Arabidopsis thaliana: one gene and its partner. The protein of the gene in region 1 interacts with the protein of each later gene in a biochemical or structural test. Each region holds a gene or a part of one and is shown on either strand. Other genes may lie near its edges.

The links. Proteins that work in one complex are often made in the same cells at the same time.
Region 2: of the proteins of HAG2 (region 1) and HIS4, one has a biochemical effect on the other in vitro, tested with the Arabidopsis thaliana proteins (one study listed by BioGRID).

What each region holds. Positions count from the first base shown.
Region 1 is NC_003076.8:22,950,628-22,959,581, reverse strand, and holds HAG2 (histone acetyltransferase of the GNAT family 2), read left to right. Parts: upstream 1-3,842; 5' UTR 3,843-4,004; coding exon 4,005-4,083; intron 4,084-4,188; coding exon 4,189-4,230; exon of another isoform or gene 4,231-4,567; coding exon of another isoform or gene 4,568-4,583; coding exon 4,584-4,693; intron 4,694-4,802; coding exon 4,803-4,871; intron 4,872-4,971; coding exon 4,972-5,010; intron 5,011-5,088; coding exon 5,089-5,165; intron 5,166-5,290; coding exon 5,291-5,378; intron 5,379-5,490; coding exon 5,491-5,572; intron 5,573-5,668; coding exon 5,669-5,826; intron 5,827-5,913; coding exon 5,914-6,573; 3' UTR 6,574-6,815; downstream 6,816-8,954. Other genes in the region: NDL1 (N-MYC downregulated-like 1), read right to left, coding at 1-4, 96-156, 241-329, 420-517, 592-691, 1,537-1,596; AT5G56730 (Insulinase (Peptidase family M16) protein), read left to right, coding at 7,006-7,220, 7,481-7,727, 7,812-7,937, 8,022-8,159, 8,231-8,365, 8,452-8,709, 8,786-8,923. UniProt on the Arabidopsis thaliana protein: Acetylates soluble but not nucleosomal H4. Acetylates 'Lys-12' of histone H4.
Region 2 is NC_003071.7:12,327,506-12,334,144, forward strand, and holds HIS4 (histone H4), read right to left. Parts: upstream 2,555-6,639; 5' UTR 2,450-2,554; coding exon 2,138-2,449; 3' UTR 1,840-2,137; downstream 1-1,839. Other genes in the region: AT2G28725 (forkhead box protein G1), read left to right, coding at 1,100-1,438. UniProt on the Arabidopsis thaliana protein: Core component of nucleosome. Nucleosomes wrap and compact DNA into chromatin, limiting DNA accessibility to the cellular machineries which require DNA as a template.

The sequences.
Region 1 (8,954 bases):
TCATCTGAAAAGTTTTAAAACATAGAAGAGATGATAAACACAGTATTCTTCTGAAGCAATGGGCAATGAGAAGAGAAAAATAAATAGGAACATACCGCGAATAAGGTGAGGATATAAGCACCTGCAGTCACTCCCATACACATCACAACACCAAGGCTGAACAAAAAGCTTATACATTGTTACCCGAAAAACAAAAGTTGAGAACTTCAATAAGCCAAAAATAAGGGATTCCATCGTTACCCGAAAAAGTTGAGAACTTCAAGGATCTGATCTGCCAAGTTTTCAGCAGAAGGGACTGAATCATTAGGACAAATTGGAGCAGCTCCTAACTGCAAGAAAACAGAGAAGTCATGTGAGTAAGTAATCACGTCAAGCAAAGCATACGGCAAGTTAAAAAAAGAGAAACTAAAATATTGGACCTCATGCCCAGGTGGACTGATATGGTAAATGCAGAAGTTATGAAGCAGCAATGAAGCTGCTTCAGGACAGAAGAATAACCCTTGGAAGCATGACATATCTGAAGAAGAAACAACAAAAACATTAATAAATTTAGCCATTACATTAGTGCCTATAGAGATTCTTTAGCCTTACGGTTTAGGGCTAAATCAGGATAAGTAATCAATGCTGGCTTTTCTCTGTCTCCATAGACAATGACAGACACAACACCACTAGCAGTTTTAACACGATGCTCCTGAACACAAGAAACCAACAAGTTATAACAAAAGTAACGGATCATGAAACCAACAGAAAAAAACTAAACTTTTAACCATACCATTTGTCTACTCCATATTCATAAAACATGTGTTTGTAAACAATGAATCTATTTTCTCGTTAGTAAATGTATACTAAAGATAGGAATATGACAACTGACTTTAGGTGGAAAAGAAATGCTTTGATTAACACACACACAAAAAAGAAAACATCTCTGTTAAAGCTTTTCCATGTGCAGCTTTACTACTTTTAAGGGCAAAAAAACAAAACCAAAAACTTGATCATCAACAACCAAAGAGAAATGGCCTAATTCTAATCATTGTGGTTTTTTTTTAATAAAAAGGGAATGACAGTTTAAAAAAGATGAGCTAATATGAGTCTTAATGAGATAATAAAGAAGCATTAGTCTTATTAAACAAAAGGTTAATGGTAGACAAAAACAGCTGGCATTTTCTTTTCTTTTTTCTATAAGATAAAAAAATCAAAAGGCAATAAGACAAAGAATAAGGAATACAAAATAATAATAAGAAGAAGATATCTTTGAATAGAGAGAAGAAGAAGATCCCAAGAATAATCCCATCTGGAAATGAATCATAATAATAAAAGAAGTTTCACAAATCCACAAGCAAAGAATTTCTCCAAGAACATTTGATTCAAACAAAAGATGAGTCTTTTTTTTACAAAAACAAATGAATCTAACAATGCCCACATGTCTGTTCTTCCCCAAATCAACAGAAAGATTAGATTTAAGCAAGTTTAAGATAAACCCAGAAACAAAAATCAAAGCTTTATTCGGATCCGAGTTCAAAGGTTAAAGAATGAAACCTTGCCACCAAGATAGATTGTTCCAACGTCGACGGAGACGGCGCCGTAAGAGTCCGTCATTGGCAACAAAAGCTCTTCCGCTTAGCCGTCACCGTCGCCGTCGTTGTTTTAAGAACGCCGGGATAACAAGAGCTTCTTCTCTTTTCTTCTTCTTCTTCTCCCAACCTCTAGATTGTTTTTTGGCTTTTCTTTAGCTTATATACAAAGCGATGCCTTTTCTCTCTCCTCTCTCTTAAGACCTCTCTGGAAAAAGAAACGTTTTTTTTTCGTTTTCCTTTTTTTCTTCTCTTTCGTTTTACTCTCTCTATAAATTTTGCGGTGATTTCTCCATAGACGCCGGTAGTCGTAACATGACACGCGAACGGTCAAAAAACTTAAAATAAGAAACATTTTTAATTTGATTTATTTATAGAAACTTATTTTTGATAAATATTATTAACCAGCTCGAATTTCACCAATAACAGTCGAATACTAATTCGGAAAAATTGCTGTAAATAAATTGGATAATTGTATAAATGTAAACAAATATTAAATGTTGATAATTGGATAAGTAAGGGAGGTGCGAAGTTTTGGTTAACAACAAAATTAACATTAAGCAAACCGAATATAAATTTTTAGAGACTGTTTAGTTTTATTATTAAAAAAAAAAAGAGAAACCAAATTTTCTAAAAATACTATTACATATAAAAAATTATTTTTATGTAATAATATTAAGAACATCAATATTTAATAAACAATTGTATATTTATACTATTCGCAATTTTTTCACTTTGAGTTGGAAAAAATATATCTTAGTAGAAAATTAGAAATGGACTAATCTTAAACCATCAGATAGGCTTTCAAACATATTCCTATCATAAGAAACATGATGAGTAACACCACTATCTATGATCCATGTATTTTGTGATAACACTTGTCTAGAGGACGTTAGAGAACATAGTAACCATAAAGTCGAAGGTGAGAAAGAGATATCATTGAAAGCAAAACTTTGAAGTGACCAAATCTGCTGAGTTAGCTGATAAGACCTTGGCAAATTCGTAATGTGAAATCTAGTATCCAAGTCTTTCCAGATCTCTGCAGCATCATTGAAACGAAGTATACTCTTATAGATCTGCTTTGTAACAGAATTAAGGATCCTAGATTTAACCATACTGTTGCATCGTGACCACACTCTAAAGCTAGGATCAGATTCAGGAGGTCTTGGTAAAGTTCCATCAACAAAAGCAATCTTATTCTTAACGTTCAAAGAAACAAACATCGCAATCTTCCAAGAAGAGAAATTAGATCCATCAAGTACCTCAGAAACAAGTGTATTCCCAGGACTCACCATTTGAGAGCGCGAATGGCGAATAATGAGCATCCGAGAAGTCGAACTGTGGTAAAGGATAGATCGATGGTTTTGAATTGAAATTTTGTTGAAACGGATTCGAAATTGGTGGAATCGGTGGAATCGGTGAAGCTTGAACACGATCTGGAGTTTTCTCAGCTGAAGTTTTGCTCGATCTTCTAGTACGACGCCGCAATTTCTCTACGGAAACCATCGCAAGATCAACGAAGCTCTAAACAACTGAAATTTTCCAGAAAACGTAGAAAATTGAAGAAACAAAGAATCAACGAGTTTGGAAGATCCAAGAGCTCGAAGATACTCAGAGTTTAGGTTGAATCGGATGAATCTTCGAGATCCATCACTCTGATACCATAATAGTTGATGAACGAATTCAGAGAAATGAAGAAGATGAGAAAAATTTGTTATTCTTCTTAATTGTTCTGTTACATGAAACACTCTTTATATGTAGAGTGTTCCGGTTTAGTAACCGGTTTACATTGTACCAAACAACAATACAATAACCGAATTTATGGTTAATATCTTAAGTTAGACCTATTTCAAAACAAGCCTAATTTTCACAATAGTCAATTTTTTGTTGTTGAATATTTGGCCGAGAACTAGACTTCAATAATGGGGAAGAATAACTAAAATCGGTTCTTTCTCCTCTCCCAAAGTCAACTAGATTCACCAAGAATAACTAACTTTGGTTAATGATTACATGTTCTTAAAGTTATGGATCTTTTGGGAAAAATGGACTATTTGGCAAAAAGAGTGGCAAAAAGAGTGTGAACATAAAAAATACAAATGGGGCGTTCCGAGAATCGAACTCGGGACCTCTCGCACCCAAAGCGAGAATCATACCACTAGACCAAACGCCCTCATTTGATATTTCGTTAATTAGATAAATAATACCTAATAATACAAACTTGAATTGGTCTTGCATTTGGGCCGTTAACAGGCCTTGCTAAGTCATATGTGGTGTGTATTTCTCCATCTGCTATTGATCTCAGTAAAAATTACATAAAGAGAGCCACAAGCTTACTGACTCTCTTGTGTATCGCTCTCTCCGCATTTCCATTAACCCTCCAATTTTCCCGCCTTTGTCTCACTCTCTTCCCGCCTTGCACTCGCCGGGGACTCCATGGTTCAGAAGCAGCAAGCCTCCGCCGGTCCGGGTACCGAGCCTAAGAAGCGTCGCCGTGTCGGATTTTCTCCCGCCGGTGAGTCATTTCTTCTTCTTGTTTGTTTTCCTTTACTCGCGATTACCACTTTCCCAGCTCCGATTTCGTATTTTTCTTTAATCCGTTGATTTTTCTTATGTGCAGATACTGGTGTCGAGGCTAACGAGTGCATCAAAATTTATCTCGGTGCGTATTTGATTTAAATCATTTGAAGTTGATTTTGGGGATATAGTTTCGTACGAAAATTAGGGTTACGTTTCCTGCTTTCGACCTTTTTGGTGAAATTAGTTGGCCTTACTTCAATTTTTCTAGTTTTTGGCTTTTCCGGCGAACTTTATTGCTTTCAAAAGGTAGTTTTCAGTTATTGAACATGTAGAGCAGATCTGTATACTGAGTTTCTGTTGATTTATGTGTTTTATCTTTCTTCCAATTGATATTTGTTCAATGAGTTGTAAAAGTATTTTCTGTGTGAAGTGTCTTAGGTTGCTGTGACATAATTTTGTTTTCTGTTTTGGTAATCGTGATGGGTGATGTTCTAGTTTCAAGCAAAGAGGAAGTTGATTCCTCTGATATTTCCAGCGTGAAGCCAGTTGACTTGAATGATTTCTTTGATGGAGATGGCAAGATTTATGGTTACCAAGGTTTGAAGGTAATGTGGCCTCCTACCATTAGATTATTTTGCTCTTTCTTAAATTTCTGGTTTCGCATTGTTGTGGTTCTGTTCTGACATATTCTTGTCCACAATTTATTGATGTCAGATAAATGTATGGATCAATAGCATCTCATTACATTCATATGCTGATATCACATACCAGAGCACCATTAACGTAAGTGTTGATTGTATTTGCTATTCGTTGGATTGGTTTTATACGGCTTTTAAAGGGACTAATCATCACTATCCTGTTACTTTCTGTTGTGTGTTTGAAGGGAGACAAAGGCATCACGGACCTCAAATCTGCTTTACAGGTACCAATCAACTTGGACACATGCTTCTTTTGCTCTCATTATATTATTCTGATTGTCTGTTTCATTTCACCCACCCAGAACATATTTGCTGAGACCATTGTTGATACCAAGGATGAGTTTCTGCAAACCTTTTCGACACAGAGAGATTTTATCAGGTGCATAACTGCATACCTTCTGGTTGCTTTCATACCATCTCAAATTTGTTCCCAACTTAATTACGATAGATCTCTTTGTAGTCTCTGAATATAATGTTGAACTTTGTCATTGATTGTTGTTCTAGAAATATGGTCTCGAATGGAGAGGTAATGCATGCTGGAGCAACAGATGGAAGCAGCAAGAATGCTGAAGTGGTTCCTTCTGATCCCCAGGTAGTTTTTGCTTAATATGATTCATGTATCCTATAGTCTTAATAAGTTTGAGCAAATTAGTTTGAGATGTTTTCAGCTTCAAATAGAACTTATAAAGGTTGATTATCCTCAGGTTATACGGATGGAAATTGGTTCTCCAAATGCTGGACTCCTCTATAGCCGATTGGTACCCCTTGTTCTTCTTTTTGTCGATGGTAATAACCCACCTACCCTTTAAGTCATCTTGAATATTTTATTTCTCTTGTTAGTAACTTAGTACTAACGAGATGCCGGCTCATTCTTTTGATCAGGCAGCAATCCGATTGATGTCACTGATCCTGACTGGCATTTATATCTCTTAATCCAGAAGAAAGAGGAAAAAGAAGATCCTTTGTATCGAATTGTGGGCTTTACCGCAATTTATAAGTTCTATCGTTATCCTGACAGGCTGCGGATGCGACTCAGCCAGGTATTAAATATATTCCTCAGAGATCTCAATCCTACTTACAATCTTTTTGATCTGACTGTTTTTGCTGATTCGTTGTTTTGATTTCAGATCTTGGTCTTACCATCCTTCCAAGGAAAAGGACTCGGAAGCTATCTTATGGAGGTAGTAAACAACGTGGCCATAACAGAAAACGTTTACGATTTGACAGTTGAGGAGCCATCTGAAAAGTTCCAACACATCCGCACTTGCATAGACATAAACCGCTTGCGCAGTTTCGATCCAATCAAACCAGACATTGATTCAGCTGTTCAGACTCTCACAAAAGGAAAGCTATCAAAGAAAGCTCAGATACCTCGATTCACCCCGCCTCTGAACGCCATTGAGAAAGTCCGCGAATCTCTGAAGATCAACAAGAAACAGTTCCTCAAATGCTGGGAGATTTTGATATACCTTGCTCTTGATCCTATTGACAAGTACATGGAAGATTACACATCAGTCATCACGAACCATGTGAGAACCGACATTCTGGGAAAAGATATAGAAACTCCAAAGAAACAAGTCGTTGATGTTCCAAGCTCTTTCGAGCCAGAAGCATCGTTTGTGGTTTTCAAGTCTGTAAACGGAGAAGAGGCTAATACCAATGTTCAAGTTGATGAAAACAAACCGGATCAAGAGCAGCAGCTGAAGCAACTTGTTGAGGAAAGGATTCGTGAGATCAAGTTGGTTGCTGAGAAAGTCTCCAAGAGTGGTCAAACGCTAAAAGTCTGATTGGAATCAAAACTTTGTGAGTCTTTTATCGGAAGTTTTTTGTTGAATGATCAAACTAGAAATCTCAAACTTTGTTGATCTTCTGTAAGGAGTAAGGACAAATCTGTTTGTAGCGCTATGTTATGGAAGTTGAGTAAACTAATGTAGTTCCGGTTATGATGTTTGTTGTCACATCCAGAACCATAAATTGGAATATTCCGATTGAATTTTAGCAAAAACTTGATATAAACCGACGCTGGTTGAACCAAATATACCGGGCAAACCGAGAAAGATACTAGTCAAGGCAAAAAAACAAACATAAGAAGAACAAATCTCGAAGGGTGGGACTTTTGTGCCGTCTCTATAGGGAGAAGAATTTGTTTTCGTGTTCTATTGATAAACGAATTTGATTTTGACAGAGTGAGGCAGAGAGAGAGAGAGAGAGAGTGAGAGATGGATTTGATAGCGGGAGAGAGCTCGAAGGTGTTGAGGAAACAAGGTTTCAGGTCGCTGAAACTGATGAGTGTGGACATGGAACAAGAACTCGGTAACGAGCTTGAGCCATTCGGGGCTGATTATGGAAGACTCGATAATGGTCTCATCTACTATGTTCGCCGGAACTCCAAACCAAGAATGAGAGCCGCTCTAGCTCTCGCCGTTAAAGTCGGGTATGTCTTCTTCTTCTTTTTTTATTTTGGCCACATTTGGTTTCAATTTGAATTGAATTGAACTTATGAATTGAAATTACTGGAAATTGAGTCGAATGTTGATTTATTTGGTCACTCTTCAGTGTTGATCCAACTTTGATTTGATTAATGATTCTTCTTGTTATCTTTTATGAATAGATTTGTGACATGCATTGATATATTCGATAATACAGAATTGTGCGCTATAAATGATGCTGACACACCTTTTGGTTTATTGGCAGTTCAGTTTTGGAAGAGGAGGATCAGCGTGGAGTTGCTCATATAGTAGAGCATCTTGCATTTAGTGCTACAACGAGATATACAAATCATGATATTGTCAAGTTCTTAGAGAGCATTGGAGCAGAGTTTGGGCCCTGTCAAAACGCAATGACTACAGCGGATGAGACTATTTATGAATTGTTTGTCCCTGTTGATAAGCCTGAATTGTTATCTCAGGCTATTTCCATTTTAGCAGAGTTTAGCTCCGAGGTAATGTCTCTGTGACTCTGTCTCCTCCTTTTTGTTACTTTATTTTTTTCTTTCCATAAGAAATTAGTTACACGGTGTTTTTAGATTCGAGTCTCAAAGGAAGATTTAGAGAAAGAAAGAGGGGCTGTTATGGAAGAATACCGAGGGAATCGGAATGCTACTGGAAGGATGCAAGATTCACATTGGCAGCTGATGATGGAAGGTTCAAAGGTATGTGAGGTCTTTTGTTAATCAGTTGTCTAGTTTAAGAGAGAGGCCAATGTTTTCTTAAAAAAGACTTTCATTTAACTGCAGTATGCTGAACGTTTACCCATTGGGTTGGAGAAAGTGATTCGATCTGTTCCTGCTGCAACTGTGAAGCAATTTTACCAGAAGTGGTATCATTTATGCAATATGGCAGTTGTGGCTGTTGGAGATTTTCCAGATACAAAGGTACTACTATTTTAGTTTATGACTATGATTATGTTGTACTGTTAGAGTTTGTTGATAATCCTTGTTTCTAGACTGTAGTTGATTTGATAAAGACACATTTTGAGGATAAAAGATCAAGTAGCGAGCCTCCACAGATACCAGTGTTTCCTGTTCCTTCTCATGAAGAGACGCGGTTTTCTTGCTTTGTTGAGTCAGAGGCAGCTGGGGTAAGTCAAATTTAACTCTCCAAACGTCTTCCTGTATTATCCCGATGTCAACTCCTAAGCTTCTTTTGTGTTTTTTTTTCTTGTAGTCTGCAGTAATGATCAGCTATAAGATGCCTGTAAGTGATCTGAAGACAGTGAAAGATTATAGGGATATGCTTGCAGAATCAATGTTTCTACATGCTCTAAACCAGAGACTCTTCAAAATATCTCGTAGGAAGGACCCTCCATTTTTTGCGTGTTCTGTTGCTGCTGATGTCCTGGTGAGCCCTTTGAAGGCCTATATAATGAGTTCGTCTTGTAAAGAGAAAGGAACTCTTGCATCCCTAGAGTCTATGCTTCTCGAGGTCTCTTCTCCTTTCCCTCTTGTCCAAGTCTTTGTCACTCCCTTGTCCCGCCCCTTCATTGGTTCTCGTGTTTTAGGTTGCTAGGGTACGCCTTCATGGGTTCTCAGAGCGTGAAATATCTGTTGTTCGGGCTCTCATGATGTCCGAGATTGAATCTGCTTATCTGGAACGCGATCAGGTCCAATCAACTAGCTTGCGGGATGAATATATACAGGTAAAATATGTGATGAACTTTAATATCCAGC
Region 2 (6,639 bases), on another chromosome or scaffold:
CGTTTAGGTTTCGAATCTTGGTTCGTTTTGATATGGAATCTGATGGTTTTTATGTAATTTGTTGAAGATTGTAATGGTGTTAATGTTTTCTTTTTAATTTGGATTTTGTGTTTAGTGACTTGGGATTCTACAAGAAGTTTGATATTTATGAATGTTAAATTAAAATTTGGATTTTGGTGGATGATTTTGTACGATGAATCGGTAATTTTGTTGTGAATTATTCTTGAGCTTAGCTTTTGTTTATTCACCTTAGAAATGATTGATCAACTAATCATCGAACAGGTTATAACGGATGATGACGAGTCTTTTATCAGCTTAGAGACAAATTTCTTTCCTGATTTAGTTATTTTGACAATAACTTGGTACACAAACTATTACTTATAGGTTTAGTAAAATACATCTACACTGAGGATAATATGGCTGGAATGTGTTTTTTGGTTTCTTGATTCCGTTTTTTTTTTTTTTTGGACTTTTGTGCTAGTGATTCAATCAAACCCTTGTTTATGCTCTGGATTATCGCATTTCTTTTTTATGTGTGATTAGAGTATTGCATCATTTTATATCTTGAAGAAAGAGGATCATGCCAAAACCAACCTTGCTTTTGACACTAAATCAAACAAATCATCGAACCATTTCCATTTGGGTTTACAATCCAGTAACCGATTCACCTTTGCATTGTTCCAACCCTAAAATGTTCATTATCTGACAATCTCATATTACTAAAATTAAATAATTTGAGATTCATACGTGTATTTGCACACGGGTTCTTCTCTTGGGTCGTCACATGACGCGAGTTCTTAATTGATTCTGAAATAATAAATTAAGAAGCCATTGTTTCGAATCCTATAACTGCCTTAACGGTGGATATTTCTCTCTTAGTTAGGTGTTTGTTCATTAAAACCCGGTCACAATAATTTTAATTAAATTTGTATTAACTAAGAAAATGGTAAATCCGTAATTATAAAAAAAGTTCATGAAAACGTGTAAGAGTCCTCTCTCCCACTCTTCTTCGTCACATTGTATAATCCCAAAACTAACTCAAAATCTTTTTAACTTCACACACACAAAACTAAACACTTCTATAATTTTGATTCTTTCAATGGAACCAATTCTTGAAAAAACCTCAACACGTTGGGAAGTTCTTGTTCAAACAGCAACATGGACAATTCTCCTAATGATCACAGTGGCTTTGGCTTCATTTGCTCCGGAGATGGCGTTTGTGTCGAAATTAAAGTCATCTTCCGATGGGTTCGTTAGGATTCCGATGGATTTACCGGGAGAAATGTTAATCTTGCCGTCAGAAATGGTGAAGAATTCATATTTAGACGTTTTTTTACCAACGATATTCGCAGGAGTTATGGTCATTGCTTCTGTTTCTTTATTACGATCATGTTTTGGTATTGAAGGTGTTGTAGAAGAAATCGAAGAACAATGTTGATGACATTTTCGTCATATCTATGGGTTATATGTATGTAATTGATATTAATTAATCAATAAGGGTCCTTAGCTCAGTGGTAGAGCAATTGACTGCAGATCAATAGGTCACCGGTTCGAATCCGGTAGGGCCCTTTCTTTTTTGTTTTAGAAACTGTTTTCTTGTTTATATTAACCGTTCATTTTATTTGATCTGACGGTGATGAATGTATCGTTACAAATATGTGTTGGATCGATGACGTGTCATTAGATTTCACAAAACTCTGAATAATTTTCACAACAAATTCTTACACTAGGGAATGCGAAAATGATTTTTTGCAAGAAATATTATAAGCCAATTAAGTGTATGAATCTTATATATAAAGCTAAGAACTTTAAAACGCTCACATTGAGTCCATATTTGTCATTCGATTCTTATACCTCTAAACTTTAAATTGCTCACATTTAGTCCTTATTTGTTTTTCAATCTTCAAAAACATAGTTCAATCAATTCCTTTGATTAGTTTTCGATTGATAATCCTTTACCATGAATTTCAGAGATTAAAGAGTAATTAGAGCAAATGGTACTTATCATTAATCCATTACAATGCTGCCCTAATTACAACACAAAACGAAACCCTAAAATTCAACCCAATTTCTGGAATTTCTTGATCGCAAGACTTAAATCATCATCATTCACCAGAAAACCCAGATCTCAAATTGATCAACCACCAAATCCATATAGAGTTCTTCCTTGTCTCTTCAAGGCATAAACAACATCCATAGCAGTCACCGTCTTCCTCCTCGCATGCTCAGTGTAAGTAACAGCATCTCTAATCACATTCTCCAGAAAAATCTTCAACACACCTCTCGTTTCTTCATAGATCAATCCACTGATTCTCTTCACACCTCCTCTACGAGCAAGACGACGAATCGCTGGCTTTGTGATTCCTTGAATGTTGTCTCTTAGAACCTTTCTGTGTCTCTTTGCTCCTCCTTTGCCTAACCCTTTTCCTCCTTTTCCTCTTCCTGACATTTTTGTTTTTCCAGAAAGTTTTAAGATTTGAGTTTTCTGATGAGTAGAGAAGAATTTATTTTTTATTTATAAAGAAGATTGTTTGGGTTAGAAAATGAATCGTGACCGTTCGTTTTATTGTTTGATCGGACGGTCAAAGATAACGATCCGTGAGAAAGGTTTATGAGATATATGGATCCTTGATTATTAATGAATCGACGGTTGTAGATTGGGTTATTATGTTAGTCACGGATTGTGGATTTTTGATTTTTCCTTTTGAACCAAGTGAGTCAACCGGACCGGTTATATGTACTAAATTACAATGGATATCGAAAATAATTAGTATAACTATGGAGTATATTTTACTTTTACTTTTCAGCTACCATAAAAAAAGGTAAATTCTCAGATCTCTTTTTTTACTATCCATATATTTTAAAAAATTTAAAAATTGTTTTTTTACATTATTATTATTTGGACAAGTTGAATGCACTTGGAAAAAAAAAAAAAACATATTCTACTATAAGGGTTTGAATCCAAATGTGGTATAGTGGATATGTTGAACATAACTCCATTGAATTAATAGAAACAATTACTGTGTACTAACCGTAAGAAGAGACGAGACTCTATTTTTGTTGGAATGTTCTGGTTTGAAGCATTTTTACAGGACAACGTAAGGATGTGTGCTTTAGCTAGAATGAAGCAATGTCGTTGTAAGGAGGTGACGATTATTATTCTAACTGAAAACCATATTGTTATAAAGCCCTTGAGCTCCAAAGCTCTTGTATATCTAGTCTTTTTGTTTTCTCCTTTTTTTCTATAACTCAAAAACTCCACTGATGGTAAATTACAAGGTGTTGTTCTTGCTGAAATGTACTAGGATCATATCGATCTCGAAAAACTCGTAAAACGTGTGTTCTTGATTTAATCTCCAAAGTGAATACCATGAGTGTTTGTCATAGAATTCTCAACAAGTTGAAGACTTATCTAAATCTTGAAGAATGAACTCAAAATTTCTGTTATAAGATTTCTTTCAACTACAAAATGATATGCAAAATATTGGTATTAGCTTCATACCATAACTAGACGCACAAATCTTGATGAAAGAAACTTGCAGCCAAGAAATTCCTTCATGAATCGCATTCAACACAAAGCTCATCAAAGATCAAAACTCTGCTCTTCTCCAATGGTTTTTTCTTGCAAAGTCAACTTGTTAAGGTATATTTGGATCGGTCCTTTACCAAAATGAAAGAAAAAAACTATTCCGCTGCCGGGTTTGAACCCAGATTTCATCATTGAAATAAACATGTGTGCTACAGCGGATTGGTTGAAAGTATCTCCAATTAACTAGTATATACCCTGTCTAATTAATACTCTCTACCTATCACGTGTTAAGACCGAACACATATTAAGAGAAAGAGAGGAGAGCCACTAGTTTTGTTTAAGTGTTCTCTTAACAATGTGTGTTCTTGATTCAATCTTTTAAAAAAATGGTGTGAGTGATATATAATGTGGTTCTTTGATTGTACCAATTGACATATACTAGATTCATAAATCAGAAACTCAAACAAATACTCAGATTAAACACCACTATTAACTATTATCCGTTAATTTGACAAAAGAGTTTTGACTATCCCAATTTTCACAAGATATATGACTCATTCTGTCAACTAAGCACAAATCATCGTAATAACATCTTAGTAACAACATGTTAGTCGTATTTGGAAGAGATAAGCACTATCTTGATGGATTTAGTTGGTCCCACACTAAATCCGGAAATTATACAATTAAATCCGGGTATTGGGCTGCGCGAGATTTGTCTCGTCCTACTTGTGACCTCCCTTTTTAGGGACCGAGTGTTTTTGCACTTCAGGCACAAGTATGGAAGCTTAAAACTACGCGAAACCTTATGCATTTTGCGTGGCAATGTATCACGGGGTGTCTAGCCACTTGTCAAAGACTTGTCTACCGACATATTGGCACAGATAAAGGATGTCCTCGTTGCGGAGCGGAAGAGGAGACTATTAATCACATCCTTTTTCATTGTCCGCATTCCAGACAGATTTGGGCATTGTCACCTATTCCCACTTCAGGGCACCTCTTCCCTAGGAGCTCCCTCTTCTATAATTTTGATTTTCTCTTCTGGCGGGGCAAGGAATTCGGAATAGGAGAGGATGTTCTTGAACTCTTTCCATGGATACTTTGGTATATATGGAAAAGTCGTAATCGATTTTTGTTCGAGAATTTTAAAGAACCTCCTTTGGAGACTTTGGCCTTGGTGATCAAAGAGGCAATTGCCTGAAAACAAGCAAACCAAAAAGAAGTAGCCATCACAGAGTCTATTTCACTTCCGGTTCTGGCACATCTCCCTCCCCCTAGGACTTCTGAGTGTCAGTTTGATGCTTCTTGGCATTTGGAGGATACTCTGAGTGGACATGGATGGATTTTAGTTGATCAAGATATTACTCTTCATCTTGGCCTCAAAAGTACGAAAAGAAGTCTATCACCGCTTCATGCGGAAGTGGACTCCTTGCTTTGGGCTATGAAGTGCATGATATCAATTGGCGAGACCTCTGGAGCCTTTGCATCTGATTGCTCCGATTTGATATCTCTTCTCGATAACCAAGAAGAATGGCCAACTTTTGCAGCGGAATTGGCCTCTTTTCGATCTCTTATTGTTTTTTTTCCTTCTTTTCGTATTAGATTTATTCCTCGTAGTTTTAACACTTGAGCAGACCTTTTAGCCAAAAAAGCTAGGACTAGAAATATTCTTTTTTCCCATGTAAGCAAGTCGGTTCCTGAATGGCTCTCCCTAGCGGATAGCGTCTTTCCGATAACTTAATAAAAATGGTGTTTGACGGAAAAAAAAAAAAAAAAAAAGGCACTATCTTGATATTAGCTTCATACTGTGACTAAAAGTACAATTCTTGAAGCAACTTGGAACAATAGATTTCTTCTTGAATCTCCTTCTTAGAAACTCTGCCCCTAATCCAATAATTTCTTCTTAGAAAGTCAACTTAGACAAGCATAATCAATTTTATAATAAAGACTGGTGTAGATGTTCAAATATCTTGAATATGTCCTTAATTTACCTGACTAAAAGAATTGGAAAAAAAAGTATTCCGCTGCCGGGGTTTGAACCCGGATTTCATGACATTGAAATTAACCGATGTGCTACAGCGGATCTGTTGAATATATTTCCATTCAATTAGTACATAGACTATAGAAAAAATAAGTGTGTTCTAACAATTAAGACAAGAGACTATAATTTTGTTGAAGTGTTCTGCTTTGTAGCATTTAAAGTGCTTTCAATGAAGCGATGTCGTTGTGAGGTGGTAACGATTCTTATTCTAACTAAAAACAGAATTGTTATGAGGTCGTTGAGCTAAAAAGCTCTTGTATATCTTCTCTTTAGGTCTTTTTGCTTTGTCTTTTGTTCTATAACTCAAAGACTCCAATGATAGTGAATTGCAAGGTGTTATTCTTGCTGAGATGTACATGATACGGCATAGATCTTGAAGAACTCGCAATAAGTTGAAAACCTAACCAAACTGGAATAAAAACAAAGATGCACAAGTCTTAAAGAATGAATTGTTTTAAGATTTCTTTCCACTGCAAAATGATAAGCACAATTTTGGTATTAGCTTCATACCATACTCGAAGCACAAATCTTAAAGAAACTTGCAGCCAAGAAATTCCTCCATGAATCTCATTCATCTCAAAGATCAAAACTCTGCTCCTCTCCAATGGTTTTTTTTCTTACAAAGTCAACTTAGACAAGCATAATCGATTTTAATAAAAGTATAATTGTGGTGTATTATAGATTTATTTGTCAGATGTTGAATTCTTTAGATGTATTTTGGATCTGTCCTTTACCTGACTAGATAGAAAGAAAACAAAAAGTATTCCGCTGCCGGGGTTTGAACCCGGATTTCATCATTGAAATAAACCGGTGTGCTACAGCGGATCTATTGAATGTATCCCTCATTAACTAGTGTATAGACTAAAAACAAATTAGTTATGAATACCTATCACATGTTAAGACCGATCACATATGAAAGAGAGGAGAGCCATTAGTTTTGTTGGAGTGTTCTCTTAGTGTTCTTGATTCTTGAAAATACCTATCACTTTGTATTGATAAATTCAGTTCTTGAGAACACCAAGCCTGAGACGAAAAACTTCTTCCATAAAGAGGAAGCCCTTCACGTAGCTTC